3 linked regions of the Canis lupus familiaris genome follow. The protein of the gene in region 1 purifies or fractionates together with the protein of each later gene. This does not show direct contact. Links are inferred from orthologs where the notes say so. Each region holds a gene or a part of one and is shown on either strand. Other genes may lie near its edges. The genes, in order: BBS12, BBS7 and MKKS.

Region 1 (5,820 bases):
TGCCTTAGGTGAGACCCTTTATTTTACTTTATTTAAAGATTTTATTTTATTTTATTTTTAAGATTGATTTATTTATTCATGAGAGATACAGAGAGAGAGAGAGAGAGAGAGAGAGAGGCAGAGACACAGGCAGAGAGAGAAGCAGGCTCCATGCAGGGAGCCCGACGTGGGACTCGATCCCAGGTCTCCAGGATCAGGCTCTGGGCTGAAGGCAGTGCTAAACCACTGAGCCACCCGGGCTGCCCTGAGCCAAAGGCAGATGCTCAACCACTGAGCCACCCAGGCGTTCCTAGGTGAGAACTTTAATTGCTTCCAAAATGGTTCCTCCTTCACATGGTTGTCAGAATTATCTTTGCAAAGCATAAACCTAATTAAAGCATTCCATTATCTAAAAACATCTATTTATCTTAGAAAATAAAATCTTTACTCCTTAGTTTGACATAGGTGTCCTATAATCGGACCTCAGTATAATTTATGACTCATTTTCCACCTTTCTTTATGAATCCTAAGATCTTGCCTCACTAGAACATTTATTTTCATTTTTACACATGCTATATTCAGATTTAATATCCCACCCTTTCTTCATCTTGGCAAATGCTATATATCTTTTATCACCCAAGGCAAATGCCACATTTTTGATACAATCTTGTCCAATGCCCCAGGAAGTCCAGCCTCCTTCCTGGGCTCAGTCACTTTCTACACACACATGTACTAAAGCATTTAGCATCCTGAATTTAAAACTCTGTATCTATGTCTGTCCCTTTCTCTCCCACTAATCTGTGGGTTCCTTGCTTTTATTCATCTTTATACTCAACACTCAGTTCCTTTCAAACTCAATAGTTGACACAGTATAGGTCATGTGAAAAGCAGTAGGTAAATTTAGTAGATTTAAGGGTGCCAATGGATTTAATATTTTCCTAGACTAATCATTATCATTACTATTACTAATGTTTTATAATACAATTAGATTAGTAATGGCTATTTTTCAAGACTAAGTATTTCTTACCTAAGAACTAGAAATTGCAATCTGAGCCTATCATCAAAAAAAATCATTGTTACTAGAAGTTAGCTTCCTAAGTATAAGACCCTAAATCATAAAGTGATATCAAAGCAGGTTAACATATTACTCAGCCTTTGAACTGCCATGAGATTAAACTTGATCTAGGTTAGAATTTGATTCTATATATTTGGTCACTATTCATTTCTGGGTCTCAGAAGTCCCCTTAATATTAGTCGTAAAGATAAAGTAAATGTCCTTAAAACTAATCAAGAGCAACTTTCCCAGTGAGATTATGGCTGAAAAATCAATATACAGTTAACCTTTCTAGGGGGCCCAACCACTGCACAAGTGAAAATCGAAACATAACTCTTACTCCCCCAAACCCTAACTACCAATAGTCTACAATTGTTTGGAAACCTTACCAATACTATTAGTAGTCAATTATTACATATTTTATATGTTACATGTATTATATACTGTATTCTTACAATAATATTTTTCTTATTTTTTTTTCAGTATCTCTAGTGTCTTAATAATATCTCTAGTATCTTGTAGTACCTCTACAAGGTTCAACTGGTAGTTTTTTTCAAATTGTGGCAAATCCCCCCCCCCCCCCCAAATCCACATATATGTAGGCCCACACAGTTCAAATCCTTGTTGTTCAAGCAAGGGTCTACTGTATTATAATCAAGCGAATAAACACTTTACTTAACTCACAAAATATCTTGAACTTGTGTAATTTTAATTTCCACTGCAACTTTATACATAAAAAAATCACTTCCTATATTAGAATAGGTGATCCCTGGGTGGCTTAGCGGTTTAGCGCCTGCCTTTGGCCCAGGGCGCGATCCTGGAGTCCCGGGATCGAGTCCCGCGTCGGCTCCCTGCATGGAGCCTGCTTCTTCCTTTGCCTGTGTCTCTGCCTCTCTCTCTCTCTCTCTCTCTCTATCATAAATAAATAAATAAATAGTAATAAATAAATAAATAAATAAATAAATAAATAAATAAATAAATAAATCTTTTTTAGAATATTAGAATAATCTTATCAGTTTTCCAGAATCCTAACGTGTTGTTTATCTATGATTACAAAGCCTGGGTAACTGGGATAGAAGGTGAACCAGACAGGATGATGGTTTTGGAGAATGTGCCGTGTTTCTACATATTACAATAGGAACGGTGATTTGGGAGACTGCTTCAAGAATGTACTTTGCACATTTTACCTGCCCTACCTGCAGGAGGTTAAGTGGGAGAAAGGGGAGGGGGAAAAAACCCAGCTAGGTAAAAATTAATGTTCCTATCAATCCACTGCTGCAGAATCCAGTATGATTCCTGGAAAATAAAGTACTTACTCTGCAGAAGGCACTGCAGGAGGCATAACGAGAGCCCTGGTGCAGAGCCCTGATGCGTAAGGAACAGGGCTGCAGGTTTGAGGAGCTATCTCCTCTTCATTTCTACCAGGAAGTCAGAGGTCCACCTCATTCTCTCCCACCCTTTAGCTAGTCTCTGACCGGATTCACGACTGGACAAACCGACAAGTCCAGCCCCGTGGACAAGAGTTTGCTTGGAGCTGCAGCAGTTAGGGGCTGGCCAGCAGGATTATGAGGCTGCGTCTCTGCTGGATACCAGGCCTGGAAAGCCGCCCGAACCTCATTCATTCAGCCACAGGCATGGCCGAGGGTGAGCCTCGGGGGGGGGGGGGGGGTGGTCGGGGGAGGTGTCTGATCGTGATTTCGGTTGGAGCCAAAGTCCTACCGGCCAGCAAATGCTGCAGCGCTGGCAAGGGCGCGCGCGGCGAGGCGAGGCGCAGCCCAGCACCAGCCCCGCCCGCCCCCGCCCGCCCCCCTCCACCCCTGCGGCTGCCGCGCCGCATCCCTCAGACCCCGGCAAGAGGGAAACACTACAGGCCAAGCCCCAGGCACGGAGGCCAAAAACTATCTAGCGGCCCTGGGGAAGCTCAGTCCCCTCCACCTCCGATAACCCCAGCAGGGTCGTTAAGCCAAGACTGGATCAGTTTACCCGGCCCGCCAGGCCCCGGTTCTCATTCTTTCTCCCGGGGCTCGAAGAGGGCAACAAAGCAAACGGGCTCTCCGCGCCTGCACTAAAGACTTCTGGAAGTACCTCGCGACGAACCTCGCTCCTCTCCGTCCTCACGCGAGGCTCCAGACCCCCGCTTGCCCACCTCGGGCGGCGGCGTTCCCGCGGGCACCCGGGCGCCGAGGAACCGGGCGGAGGACGCCCCCCTCTGGGCCCGCACTCTGCGCATGTGCGAGGCGGAGCGAGCCGGCGGCCGGCGGGGTGGGGCAGGTCTCTAAGATTACCCCGACCGAGAGTTCTGCCCGCGGTCGGCTCGGAAAAGCAGAGCGCTACTCTATTGGTAGAGAGCAGAGAGAGGGGGCGGGCCTCAGGGCCCTGATTTCTGTTCATTGGGTGGAATGACTGTCAATCAGTAGGCAAATCTGGTGGGCGGGGCTTCTGGAGAGCGGGGCGAGAGCGGCCTTAGCAACGGTTGCTGAGCCGGGGAGACTGCAGCAGGGCGGTGCGGCTGGCGGCTGAGACCGGGAGGTCCCGGCAAAGGGCACCGCTTGGTGACATGGTGAGTGCCAAGCCGGTAAGCCCTTGCTGGGCCGGGGCCGGGGTTGAAGTGTCACCTCGGAGCAAGGAAGGAATTTTGTTTGGTTTATGCAATGTATTATTGGCCTCCTGATCCTCGAGTGTCATTTAGTGGCGCCTCCTCTCGTGGCCCAGGGGAAGCACGTTGCCCCTGGCTCTGGGGGACAAGCCAGGGCGGGGCTCCAGTTCATTCTTCCCTCGTCGACCCCACCAGCCGTTGATACCCGCGCTCTGCGATAGGTTCCGTGATGGAAACGGAAAGGAATTGAGGACGGAGAATAAGAGGCTTAGAAGCTGTTGGAAGGGGCAGCCAGGGTGGCTCTAGCGGTTTAGCCCCGCCTTTGGCCCAGAGTGTGATCCTGGAGACACAGGATCGAGTCCCGCCTGGGGCTCCCCGCAGGGGGGCTGCTCTCCCTTAAGCAAATACATCTTTAAAAAGAAACTGTTGGAGGGTCTAGACCTCTAGAAAAGAGGTCCTGAACTCGGAGAAAGTGACCGGCCAGGGTAGCTCCGCCCTCCCACTCTTGGGAAGGTAAAGGTCCTAAAGGCTGGAGCTGTTAAGTTGGAGATCACACCGGTGTATTTGCAATCCGAGGCCAGAGAATCCACCGCTGCCACGAGGAACCCTTAATCCACGTGAAACCCGAGGCTAGGTGCCCAGGAACGCGAGGTCCAGCTGCCGTCCCTGCTGCCACTGCTGCCTGACCGGAAGCTGGAGACCAGATACCGAAATAAGGCTGCAGCAACACCCCAGAAGCAACTCTTTGACCTTGCTTGTCAGCGGGGATTGGCACAAAGCAGCAAGATGACCTCCACCATACCCCTGGATACTGATAATTAGCCCAACATTTATTCTTACTCAGATCCCTGGAATAGTTTTTCACCCGGAAAATGTAGGTGTTTTTTTCCCCGCCATTTCTCAGCTTCTGCAATATAGAAAAGTATGCTAAAAGATGGGAAAGGATATTATGTTTCGGTCAAGCATATCCCACAAAAGAAACAAATTTTATTATGAGACATAGAGGCCTAGATAAAAGGGATGCCTTAGGCACTGCTTTTCAAATATACCAAGTAAGGCCAGTCGTATTGGAACTTAAGATCTACTGTTCAAGCATGCGTGCCTTTGCCTCTTCTTTCTTTCAAAGGCACTTGTTTGTTGAAGGAAAAACTTGAGTGGTAAAAAGAACCAGGCTTTCCACCAAGATATTAATAACTAAAAGTACAAATGTTAGCAAAGGGGAAAGGAGGAAATTGCTGATGGTCATTGTGTAGTAGGGAATAGGGTTCTTGAGTATGCTTATTTATCATTGATTATTCTGGTTCTGGTAACTTTTCCAGTTATTCATGCATATGCGTATTTATTACAGGCATCCAACTATTGTATAGGTTCAGACCAATGGAAGAAAAGAGCAGCAAAACTTGAATTGAATGAAACCCAAAAGCAAGAAATTAAAGAGGCCTTTGATTTATTCGATGTTGATGGGTCTGGAACCATAGATGTGAAAGAATTGAAGGTTTTGAAATTACTTCTAATTCTAAAACATTGTAAAAACCATTACTTATTTGTGCCAATTTTTCAATCTTTAACAGCAGCCTTCTAAAAGCTCAGTATAAAATCTCCTCAGTGTGGATACCTGCACCTTCAGTGTATACACCTACCCCATACTAACAAAATAGTATCACGTTAGGCATTTTACTCTTGTTTTATGAATGAGTAAAACAAAACACAAGATCTGACAGTGACATATCCTATGGCATAGTAGGATTGGAACCTACCTAGGCCTGCTGACCTGACTTTCTAGGTTTATGCATAGTCCATAGTAAAAAAGAGAAAATCTAGTCATTAAGAGGTAATTTAAAAACTAGGAATGAGATTGTGGCATAGTATAATTTATTTGCTTCCTATTTCAGATTGCAATGCAAGCCTTAGGATTTGAACCAAAGAAAGAAGAAATTAAAAAAATGATAGCTGAAATCGACAAAGAAGGAATTGGCACCATTACTTTTGAAGATTTTTTTGCCATAATGAGTGTAAAAATGGTATAGTAGTGATTTTGTTTTTCAAAGAAATATAAGCAATAACCTACATTTTTTCAAAGAAATATAAGCAATAACCTGATTTCTGCTCCTGATAATCAGAGGTTTCACAGAGGAAGACTTTGAAGATGGACGGGATTTAGATAGTTAGACAGTTAGCAAGATTAAAGATT
Region 2 (5,089 bases), about 770 kb from region 1:
TCACTGATTTCAGTTTTCTTTTCTGAGGGATAGAAATAATAGCACTTCAATGAGTGGTGATGATTGATTAAAGAATGTAAATCTTGTGAATCATGCCACAGTGCTAGGTACTATGTGTTTAATATTAAATATCATCAGTTAAAATTAAAGACTAGTGAAAATATCATGATTTCTAAAACATAATTGGAATCAAAATAATATAGGAGTCATCTTCCTAGAAAAAAAAAGAATTAGCATTTGTCTACAGGTAGTTAATATAAACTATTAGGGTGTGTGAAAATAAAAAAAAAGACAGCATTTCATACATGAAAGATGGTATATATATTGATTAGGAAACTTTTGATTATCATAAAAAGGAACCAAATACAGGTAGACCAACATACCAAATAAAAGCTCATATAACTTAAAAGTCCATAGTAATCTGCTTTAGGCACAACTGGGTCACTGGCTTAACTGATGTCATCAAGACCATCCCTTTCCATTGCTCAGCTCTGTTCTTGTCTCTTTTTGGCTTTCCAATTAAGTATCATTGTGGCCACCAGCAGTTCTATCCAGTTTTCTATCTTTTCAGCTAATATCGAGCCTTTCTTTCCCACTGTTTCCAATAAAAGTCCCAGGATTGAGTGTCATTGTAGAGCCATGAACCATTGTGGTCAGGAATGTCACATTTAGTGACAAATTGCTAAATGCTTCCTCCTAAAGTCTCACAAAAAGGGTTGAGGCCAGTGCCAGTGAAACTATAGTTGACTCTTAAACAACACAAGTTTAAACTGTGAGAGACCACCTATATACAGTTTTTTTAATAAATACAGTATGGTACTGTAAATGTATTTTCTTATGATTTTCTTAACATTTTCTTTTTTCTAACTTACTGTAAGAATATAGTATATAATACATATGACATACAAGATACGTGTTGATTGACTGTTTATATTATTGGTAAGGCTTCTGGTCAGCAGTAGGCTATTGCTAGTTAAGTTTTTGGGTAGTCAGAAGTTAAATTTTTTTTTTTTTAATTTTTAATTTATTTATGATAGGCACACAGTGAGAGAGAGAGAGGCAGAGACACAGGCAGAGGGAGAAGCAGGCTCCATGCACCGGGAGCCTGACGTGGGATTCGATCCCGGGTCTCCAGGATCGCGCCCTGGGCCAAAGGCAGGCGCCAAACCGCTGCGCCACCCAGGGATCCCATGGGTAGTCAGAAGTTATATGCAGAGTTTTGACTGCAGGGGTTTGGCAGCCGAACCCCCCACATTGTTCGAGGGTCAACTATATGGATTGAGGAGGGTTAGAGAAAAAAGAAGTGGTTCTGTAAAGAAGATGACGGCTCCTGTGTCTGTAAGAAATGGCAATGGATGATGGGCATGGAAAAACAGAGCTATTATTCTTATGTTTAGTATCAGCTTTCTTTTAAGAATGAAGAATGTAGTCCTGTTGTAATTTGTGTGAGTACGTTGAAGAAAAATATACTTATGTGTAATAAGCAATTCTAAGTGCATTTCATATACATACAGAATTAGCTGTTGGGAATTTTATTAGTCAAAGTAAAGAAAAAAGATGCTTTAATGACTTACATGTATTGACGTATGTTTGGGAGGCATATATCTAACATCTTTTATTTAGTTTCACAATTTTGTTCACATGAAAACACATGAAAACTTTGTATAACAGTAAAAGATTACACATTTTAAGTATGCTTTATATTAATAATGAGATACGTATATAAAGAAATCTAAAATCAAATGAATTCTAAACACCAAGTACTGGTTATAAAGTATTGTATTTACTGGACCTACTTACTATATTTATTTTCTTCTAAAGTTGTTCTTTTAAAAATATATTAATTTTATAGAAAAGGAGAAGGAATTTTTAAATCTGACAACATTTCTACTATATCCATCCTCAAAGATGTGCTGTCTAAAGAAGCTACCAAAAGGAAAATTAACCTCAACATATCATACGGTAAAAAAAAAAAAAAAAAAAAAAAGAAGAAGAAAAATCATTCTTTCTGGGGTATTGGTTTTTCGTTGTTGTTACAATAAGAATGTTTCTGATCAAAGTGACTTAGCTAATCGTGCCTGGCTCACCTTCTTCTAGAGATAAATGAAGTATCCGTCAAACACACTTTAAAGCTAATCCACCCAAAGCTGGAGTACCAGTTGCTTTTGGCTAAGAAAGTGCAATTAATTGATGCTTTAAAAGTAAGTATACATTTACATGGACTCATGATCATTACTTTATGGTGATGGGATTTCTAAAATTATAGACTTTAAAGTTACATGGATTTAACTTTGAACATTAAAGGCCTTTGTTTTTTATTTTAAATAAGGAATTGCAGGTTCACGAGGGAAATACAGACTTTCTGATACCGGAATATCGCTGTATTCTAGAAGAAGCAGATCACCTACAGGAAGAATACAAAAAGCAACCTGCACATCTTGAAAGACTGTACGGTTAGTAGACTATTCTAGAAAATCTTGCTATATTTCTTTTCTGCTGGCTATTTGTGGAGGATCATGTGAGAGAAGCTAGGCAGAAAGGTAAGTGAAGATTATAAAAATCATGAACCAGTGACAACGAATTTATTTCATTGAATATTTTGTCAAATTTTTTTAATTAATATTTTTACTTGACAAAATAAAAGTTAAGTGAAATACATGTAATGCAGTAAATTAATCTGTATATGAAGAAATCTGGTGTGAAATGAATATAGCCTATGAAGTATTAAAATGTAGGCTGTATTTCACACAAATAATTTTTAGGTTATGATGATAATGTGAAATATCAAAATGCAACATTTAATATTTTTTAGACAAAATGTAAGGGATATATATGTGCTGTCAATTTACAGTTGAAAACTTGTTTTGCTTTGATGGTGACAAGTTGGGTGTTTCACAAATTGTCTTGAAAAACATCGAGAGCAAGAGAGAGACATATAGGAAGAGAGAGAAAGGATAGAACAGCTTAAGGAAAACATTTTTTTTGTGATCTTTATATAATATCTATGTGCAGAGCACGTTTCTTTACAATATCTTCATTAATCAGATATTTAATCCTTCCAACAGTTCTGCAAGGTAGATGGTGTTACCGTTATTTTTCACATTTTTTTAAACTGAAACCTGAGACTAAAAAGTTTGTTGTCACATAGGTAGTAGCACAGCCTGCATTATAATTTCCTCATCCCTAAATGCTTGCTTTTTGTACTATACCAAATCTTCTGTAGAGTCAGTTGGTATCATCAATCCACACTGATCTTTGAGCCTGCCTAATGAATTTTATACCCAGGGACTTGCTCACAAACTATAACAATAAAATCTAGTATCTTAATATTGATTATATGGCAAACACATAATCTTTTATCCTTACAATAACTTAGAAGATGGGTGGTACAAAACCATCTCTTATCACAAGTTCCAAAATCTAGAAAGCTTTGAAAACTAAAACTTTTATAAATTATTTGGCAGCAAATTTGACTTGATCTAAATTAATAATTTAATGACAAAACCTCACTTAAACTGACAATTGAGGTTATTTATAGTCATTTTTATTCTACTTAGTATGAATATTTATCGATATATTTTGCCGCAAAAACACTATTGTGTTTTTTTGGTTTTTAAAGATTTATTTATTTATTCATGAAAGAATAAATAAATAACACACAGAGAGAGGCAGGGATATAAGCATAGGGAGAAGCAGGCTCCCCTTAGGGAGCCCAATGTGGAACTCAAACCCGGATCCCAGGATCATGCCCTGAGCCAAAGGCAGAGGCTCAACCGCTGAGCCACTCAGGCGTCCCACTATTATGTTTTGTTCTCAGATGCTGCCGCTCATTTCCCTTGGATATTATGCCATATATGATGTATTCCTTTTATTATCTTTCTAAAATATGAAAAATTCTGAAACACATCTTAGATAAATTCCAAGAATATTCATCATATTAATTGAATAGTTTAATTCAAATAGAACTGTTAAGAACAAGATCTGTTGGGGTACCTGGGTGGCTCAGTTGGTTAAGCATCTGCTTTATCTCAGGTTATAATCCTGAAGTCCTGGGATTGAGCCCCAAGTGGGGCTCCCTGCTCAGTGAGGAGTCTGCTTATCCCTGTCCTTCTGTTCCTCCCCGTTCACCCTGTTCAGGCTCTCTTTTGCTCCCTCTCAAATAAAAATAAAATCTTAAAAAAAAAAAAAAAAAACAGAATCTGTCTACATTTTGTCAAAATGGTCAGCTTGGGAAGAAAAATAAAACCACTTGTGATGTTACATATATACCAATAGCAGTTCACAGCATGTCAGCAGTTAATTTTCTGAATTTAGTAGCTTTTAACTAATAAGAGGATTACTAGCCAAATTATTTGTTTTGAAACTTGCCTTAAAATCCCCCCAAATAAATATTTTTAAAAATATCAATACTTTTAGTTTTGTATATATTTAAAAATGCAGTTAATGAGTGCTTAGAAATAGATTCTCAGGTATCACTTTCATTAAGAACTGTGTTAATTAGAACTAATCAATGACAAGAAATTAACATTTTTCTTTATAGGCATGATCACTGATCTTTTCATAGATAAGTTCAAGTTCAAAGGCACCAATGTAAAAACCAGAGTGCCTCTTTTACTGGAGATTCTGGACAGTTACGACCAAAATGCATTGATTGCTTTCTTTGATGCTGCATGAAATGTACACAAGGTAAAGTTCCAAAGAAGTTGTCTTTTTAAACGAAATATTTTAAAACAGAATTATGGCACAAGCTAACTGTACATACTTGTATTTCAAATGCTTTTTAATATAATCTAAAAACATTTAAGATGTGACTTCCTTTACTAATGCTTCTATTTTGAGAAATGGAACTTTTTAAAAATAAAGAGAATTTTTATTTTGGAGCAAGTGGAATGATTATAAGGAATTTCAATGAACTTTTTGCAAGTGGATGTTTTAACTTTTAAATGAGAAATATTTGGAAAATAAATTCAAATATTTAACAAGCTACACCCACATATAAGCTGCTTTACAGTTTTCAAAGTATTTACATATAGTACTTCATCTGAGCTTCACAATATATATTTATTGTTATTTTGTCAAGTCGTATAAG
Region 3 (5,089 bases), on another chromosome or scaffold:
TGTGTATTCTTTTCCCATATTTTCAGTGCTGTGTTGTTTCTTCAAAATCCTACTCAAAAAACTTTCCTCTTCCAAAAAACTTTTTCTAGTTTACTTAATTCAATTTGCAGGCTATATTATTGTATATTCAGCATCAATACATGGGCACTAATTTTGTTTTTCGTAATGTATATTCTAGTAACCTTTCATGAATGGACTTTATCATCAAATAGATTTTAAATCATTTTGGGAACCAGGGTGGGGTATATCCGTAAAAAGCATGTATTCTCTCTCTAATCCTAGTCAGCCACTGGAAGCTATGCAGTCTCTCTTGCTTTCTTTTTTTATTTTTAAAGTTCAATGCAGGGCTCGAACTCACAACCCTGAGACTTGAGCTGAGTTCGAGTCAGAAGGTCAACTGACTGAGCCACCCAGCCACCTCCTGCAGTCTCTTGATAACATTCCTGACTAACCAAAGAATCAACTGCAAATATCTGGAAAACACATACCTTTCTGTATCCATTTTCAAATAAAGTAGGTCAGTATTTATGAAATAATCAGAACTATCCTGCACTAAGTTTATCTATTATCAGGACACAGAGTTTCTTAAAATGAATAAAAAACATTCTATTTGATAGAATTTATATCATAAATAGATGCAAATTTAAAAATTATAATAGAATCTAGTGCTTAGAATGCTTTATTAAATGAAACTAAGTCTTTTCTTGATAGTCCAGAAGGTACTGAGTATTTTATAGAATCTTAATACTTTCATTATGACTATCAATTATTATCGTACCGCGGCAGTTGAAATCTGTATATAATTTACATTACCAGAATGCTCATTTCAACACGCAGTATTTCACAATACTCAAAGATTGTGATCATTTGGTGAAAGGCTGGATTGATAATAATCGTTGTGATAAAGATACTACCTTATATTTGCAAGTATTATTTTCCTCAAGTGTTTTCAAATACAAAATCTGAATTATACTACTGAGAAAGTAAGCATTAAAGGCTGCAGGGTATTGTGATTTGGTTTATTATCTATAAAACAAATGTTGCTGAGAATTTAGATAATCTGAGCAGACTACCTAACCTACCTTGTGTCTGATATATGCTGCCAAATGAGTTTCAGTACAGCCGCCTCCCAACAAAACACATGGTTCCTTGATGGTTAATTGCAAAACATGCAGTGCAGTTTGACATGTGAGCTAAAAAAGAGACGAATTATCAGAATCAGACATTGGCATCAGACACACAAAGAAATATAACCATGTTTTCAAGGGAACTTACGTAGTAGACTCAGAGCTGAATTTTAGTTGCAAAAGAAAAAACTTGTGTTGCCAAGGTTGTAATGTAATTAATACATTTTGGAATAATAAAGATTAGAAATTAAAGAAAAATACTTTAGCCAGATGTTTGTCTCCATGGACAAGATTAATATCATCTTTCATATATACTTCGTTCTTCAAACTGAGATTCACAAATGGATGGCCTCAAAATAACTGGGTCAGCAAGGTTTGCTAGTATTTCTACTAAAAAAAATTATTTCAGTCTAAATAAGTTAGCTGTATACCTGCTATAGAATATTCAAGTTGCTGTGGAAGTAATAATATCTACAATCCAGTAGTAATAAAAACAGAGACCTTTCATATTTACCAAAGATATATTCTTGAGTATACATGAATCCTTAAGATTGTGACCAATACCACAGGTTATCACTTTTTTTTTATGATTTTATTTATTCATGAGAGACACAGAGAGAGAAAGAGAAAGAGAGAGAGGCACAGACACAGGCAGAGGGAAAGCAGGCTCTGTGCAGGGAGCCCGACATGGGACTCGATGCCGGGACTCCAGGACCACGCCCTGGGCCAAAGGCAGGCACCAAACCGCTGAGCCACCCAGGGATCCCCCAGTTATCACTTCTAAGTTGCGTTTGTTATTGCTGGTAGAAGACAATAAATTCTATTAAGAGGTGGATGATGGGTATGGCTGGGGAACTAATTTTCTCAGTGAATTATTCATACACATTAGCATAAAAAAGTACAGAGTTCAAGTTAATTACTAAGAAAGTTCACATGTTAAAAAAAAAGAAAAGTTCACATGTTAAAGATCTTTACATTGCTTGTAAATACTAGAAATAGTAACTGGTAGCACTTGCTACCAGTCTACTGTAATATCACAGGTAAGTAAATCAGCTTACTTATGACTTTAATTCCATCATTTTTGTTGTTTTTGCTTTCTATATCACCTGGGAAAGTTACAAAAAACAAAATACATAGCTCACCTATATGAAAAAAACTATTGTCTATTTAATCCCTGCCTCAGCCCCTAGATAATGGAATGCAGTCTGTGACCTACCTTCAGCTCATCCCAGGCAGTATCATTTCTGTTGCAGAGAAGCAAGCTGCAGATAGTTGCTTCATAAGGAATAAGATGAAGAAAATGTTTGAAGCCAAATTTTGCAGGGCACAAATCTTTCACACTTCCATAACTACTAGGAGAGATTGAGCCTATGGAACCAATAGGCTGTGTTCCTATTTTTTAAAGTTTAGAAAACACAAAATATATGAGTAAAGATGGAACTTAATAATCATTTAAAATTGATTCTTAGCCAATATTAAAAGTCCCACAAGCATATACTTTAAAACGTGAAATATAAATAACAAGATGCTTCTAATACCTATAAGTTATACAAGTAGTATTCTATTAAAATGATATACAAATAAAGCAGAGGTTCTTTTGGTTTATAGACTTCATTGAACATCTGTTAGGAGCTATTTTGTATTCTCTAGAAAAAGGCACACAGAAATGTGAGTATATTTTCTGGGAGCTTAAAAAATTTGCAGGAGCCCAGAAAATAATCACTGAACAACTAGACTTCTTTGAATAGATTTTTCTCTTCTGAAGCCTCAAAGATTAAGGAATACTTGGATGATCTAAAATTTAAGGATTAAAAAAAAAACCTACAAGATTTATTATCTCATTTGGTGGGTGCAACAGAAAATCTCTGTATTGAGAGGATCTGGCTCTGCAGCTTATGACCCACTGGACACGAAGCAAGTCACTCATGTCACTAATTTTTCTGAATGGGTCCCCCTACAGGAGTAAAATGGGGATGGTATTATCTCCTTCACAAATAAAACAAATCAAAGGTTCAATCTTCTGTATGCCCATGACAAGCTTCAAACACACCAGGGGCCCATGCACAATAGCCCTACTTAATCTGTATCAATAAGGAGGAATGTTGTCTGAAAGGGGGGAGGATGGAGGTAACATTAACTTAGATAAACAAGGGACAGTGGAAAACATAGTTTATCTGAGCCATGGGCTCAGGTATAGTTGTTTTCCCCCTTCATCTCCAAAGGTCTTTGCTCCCAAGAACCAGGATTAAAGCTGTGGCTATTTACACTATGTTCTAATTATATATGGGATAAATAAGAATTGTTGGCTGGTATGGTAACCCAGTGCCCCCTTGAACTATTTTTTTTTTTTTTTTTTCTAAGATAGGTAGAGACACAGGCAGAGAGAGAAGCAGGCTCCATGCAGGGAGCCTGATCTAGGACTTGGTCCCAGGACTCCAGGATTACGCCCTGGGCCGAAGGCAGACGCTCAACCACTGAGCCACCCAGGTGTCCCTAAACTATTATTTCTATGGCAAAATGTTTCACATTTTAATATTTTTGAAGTATATATTCTTAAAAAGATTTTATTTATTTGAGAGTGAGAGAGAATGAGAGTGCATGAGCAGGGAGGAGGCGGGGAGGGAGAGGTAGAAGCTGACTCCTTGCTGAGCAGAGAGCCTAATGAGAGACTTAATCCCAGGACTTTGGGATCATGCCCTGAGCCAAATGCAGACACTAAACCAACTGAACCACCAAGGCACTCTGTTTTTGTTGTTGTTGTTGTTTTTGTTGTTGTTGTTAGAGAGAGTGAATCTTTAAAACTCTCACAACCCTGAGATCATGACCTGAGCTACAATCAAGAGTAGGACACTTAATCCACTGAGCCACCCGGCTCGAATTTAAAAACTAAATAATCTGTAATACCCAATATTTACAACCGGAAAAGTCATGAAAAACCAGTAAATATTTAAAACTATGGGTCTAATCCAGAACATCAACAATGAGTTCCACAGAACCATTTCCATTATTTAATAATTTCCACTTTGACAATCGTGGACAGCCTTATAAAGATAGGGCAATAACACAGATATTAGGTATTCAATACTGACATACATACTACCACCTTTTAATGACTTGTTAATAACTAAAAACTAAAAATAGTAAACTTTAACAATGGCTTGTCTGATAAGTGTTGCAATTGATCAGAATGGAATGACTGATATCAATGCAATTAAAGGGATATTGAAAGTGGCTCAAATCATGAACTCTACATTGTCAGGTTTCTTTGGCTGTAATTAATAGGTGAATATCAACCTTATGTCTGATTTTAATTTACAAAATACAGTGAATTTCTTGCCTGTTACAATTCTGTATCTTATCACGTTAGTCAGTTAAACAAACGTTTTAGAACACCTACTGTGGACCAGGCCTGTTGTCCGTACTAAAAATAAAAGACAGTCCTGATTCTCAAGGAGCTCAGCTGGAAATATCTGGGATATTTAAAGCTAGTGTGCGCACACATCCACCCACCTACCCACCCCTAATTACGAATTTAGGCAGAAGTACAGTAGTGAAGAGGTAGAAAAGTAGAGAAAAGGAGATATTTTAGCTATAAAATTACCTTCTGAATATAATGGAAGAGGTTTGTAATATTCAAGTAGAAGAATTTTGTGTAAAGTATTAAAGACCTTAGGATTGTGAAGCTGTTAAACTTCTCCATATTCCTAAGGTATTTGGGAGAGTTAATGGTTTTAGATTTTTAACGGATTCTGTAGCCTTTTTGGGATTGGAAAATACCTAGAAATTGCCATAATCACTCAATTTTTAGAAAATGAACATTATAGGATGTTTTTGAGAAACCACCTTTTCTGGCAGGAACGATACACATGCTGTTGAGGTTGGCAGCTTCTAAAACTTTTCAAGATGTTAACAGTGACACACATCAAGAAGGTCTCCGCTCAAAAAAAAGGGGGTCATTTATT

The links.
Region 2: the proteins of BBS12 (region 1) and BBS7 purify together in Homo sapiens (co-immunoprecipitation; 3 studies listed by BioGRID and IntAct, counting the BioPlex papers as one, with this or other methods). This does not show direct contact. The link is inferred for Canis lupus familiaris from reciprocal best matches to the Homo sapiens genes BBS12 and BBS7.
Region 3: the proteins of BBS12 (region 1) and MKKS purify together in Homo sapiens (co-immunoprecipitation; 4 studies listed by BioGRID and IntAct, counting the BioPlex papers as one, with this or other methods). This does not show direct contact. The link is inferred for Canis lupus familiaris from reciprocal best matches to the Homo sapiens genes BBS12 and MKKS.

Annotation. Positions count from the first base shown.
Region 1 is NC_049240.1:18,368,634-18,374,453, forward strand, and holds the start of BBS12 (Bardet-Biedl syndrome 12 protein), read right to left. Parts: upstream 3,283-5,820; 5' UTR 3,131-3,282; exon of another isoform or gene 3,119-3,130; intron 3,103-3,118; exon of another isoform or gene 3,017-3,102; intron 2,684-3,016; exon of another isoform or gene 2,350-2,683; intron 1-2,349. Other genes in the region: centrin-4, read left to right, coding at 3,591-3,593, 4,978-5,124, 5,522-5,650. UniProt on the Homo sapiens protein: Component of the chaperonin-containing T-complex (TRiC), a molecular chaperone complex that assists the folding of proteins upon ATP hydrolysis.
Region 2 is NC_049240.1:19,137,868-19,142,956, forward strand, and holds part of BBS7 (Bardet-Biedl syndrome 7 protein), read left to right. Parts: intron 1-1,852; coding exon 1,853-1,962; intron 1,963-2,097; coding exon 2,098-2,201; intron 2,202-2,329; coding exon 2,330-2,453; intron 2,454-4,540; coding exon 4,541-4,674; 3' UTR 4,675-4,686; exon of another isoform or gene 4,687-4,880; intron 4,881-5,089.
Region 3 is NC_049245.1:12,367,877-12,372,965, reverse strand, and holds part of MKKS (McKusick-Kaufman/Bardet-Biedl syndromes putative chaperonin), read right to left. Parts: intron 2,520-5,089; coding exon 2,344-2,519; intron 1,194-2,343; coding exon 1,083-1,193; intron 1-1,082. UniProt on the Homo sapiens protein: Probable molecular chaperone that assists the folding of proteins upon ATP hydrolysis. Plays a role in the assembly of BBSome, a complex involved in ciliogenesis regulating transports vesicles to the cilia.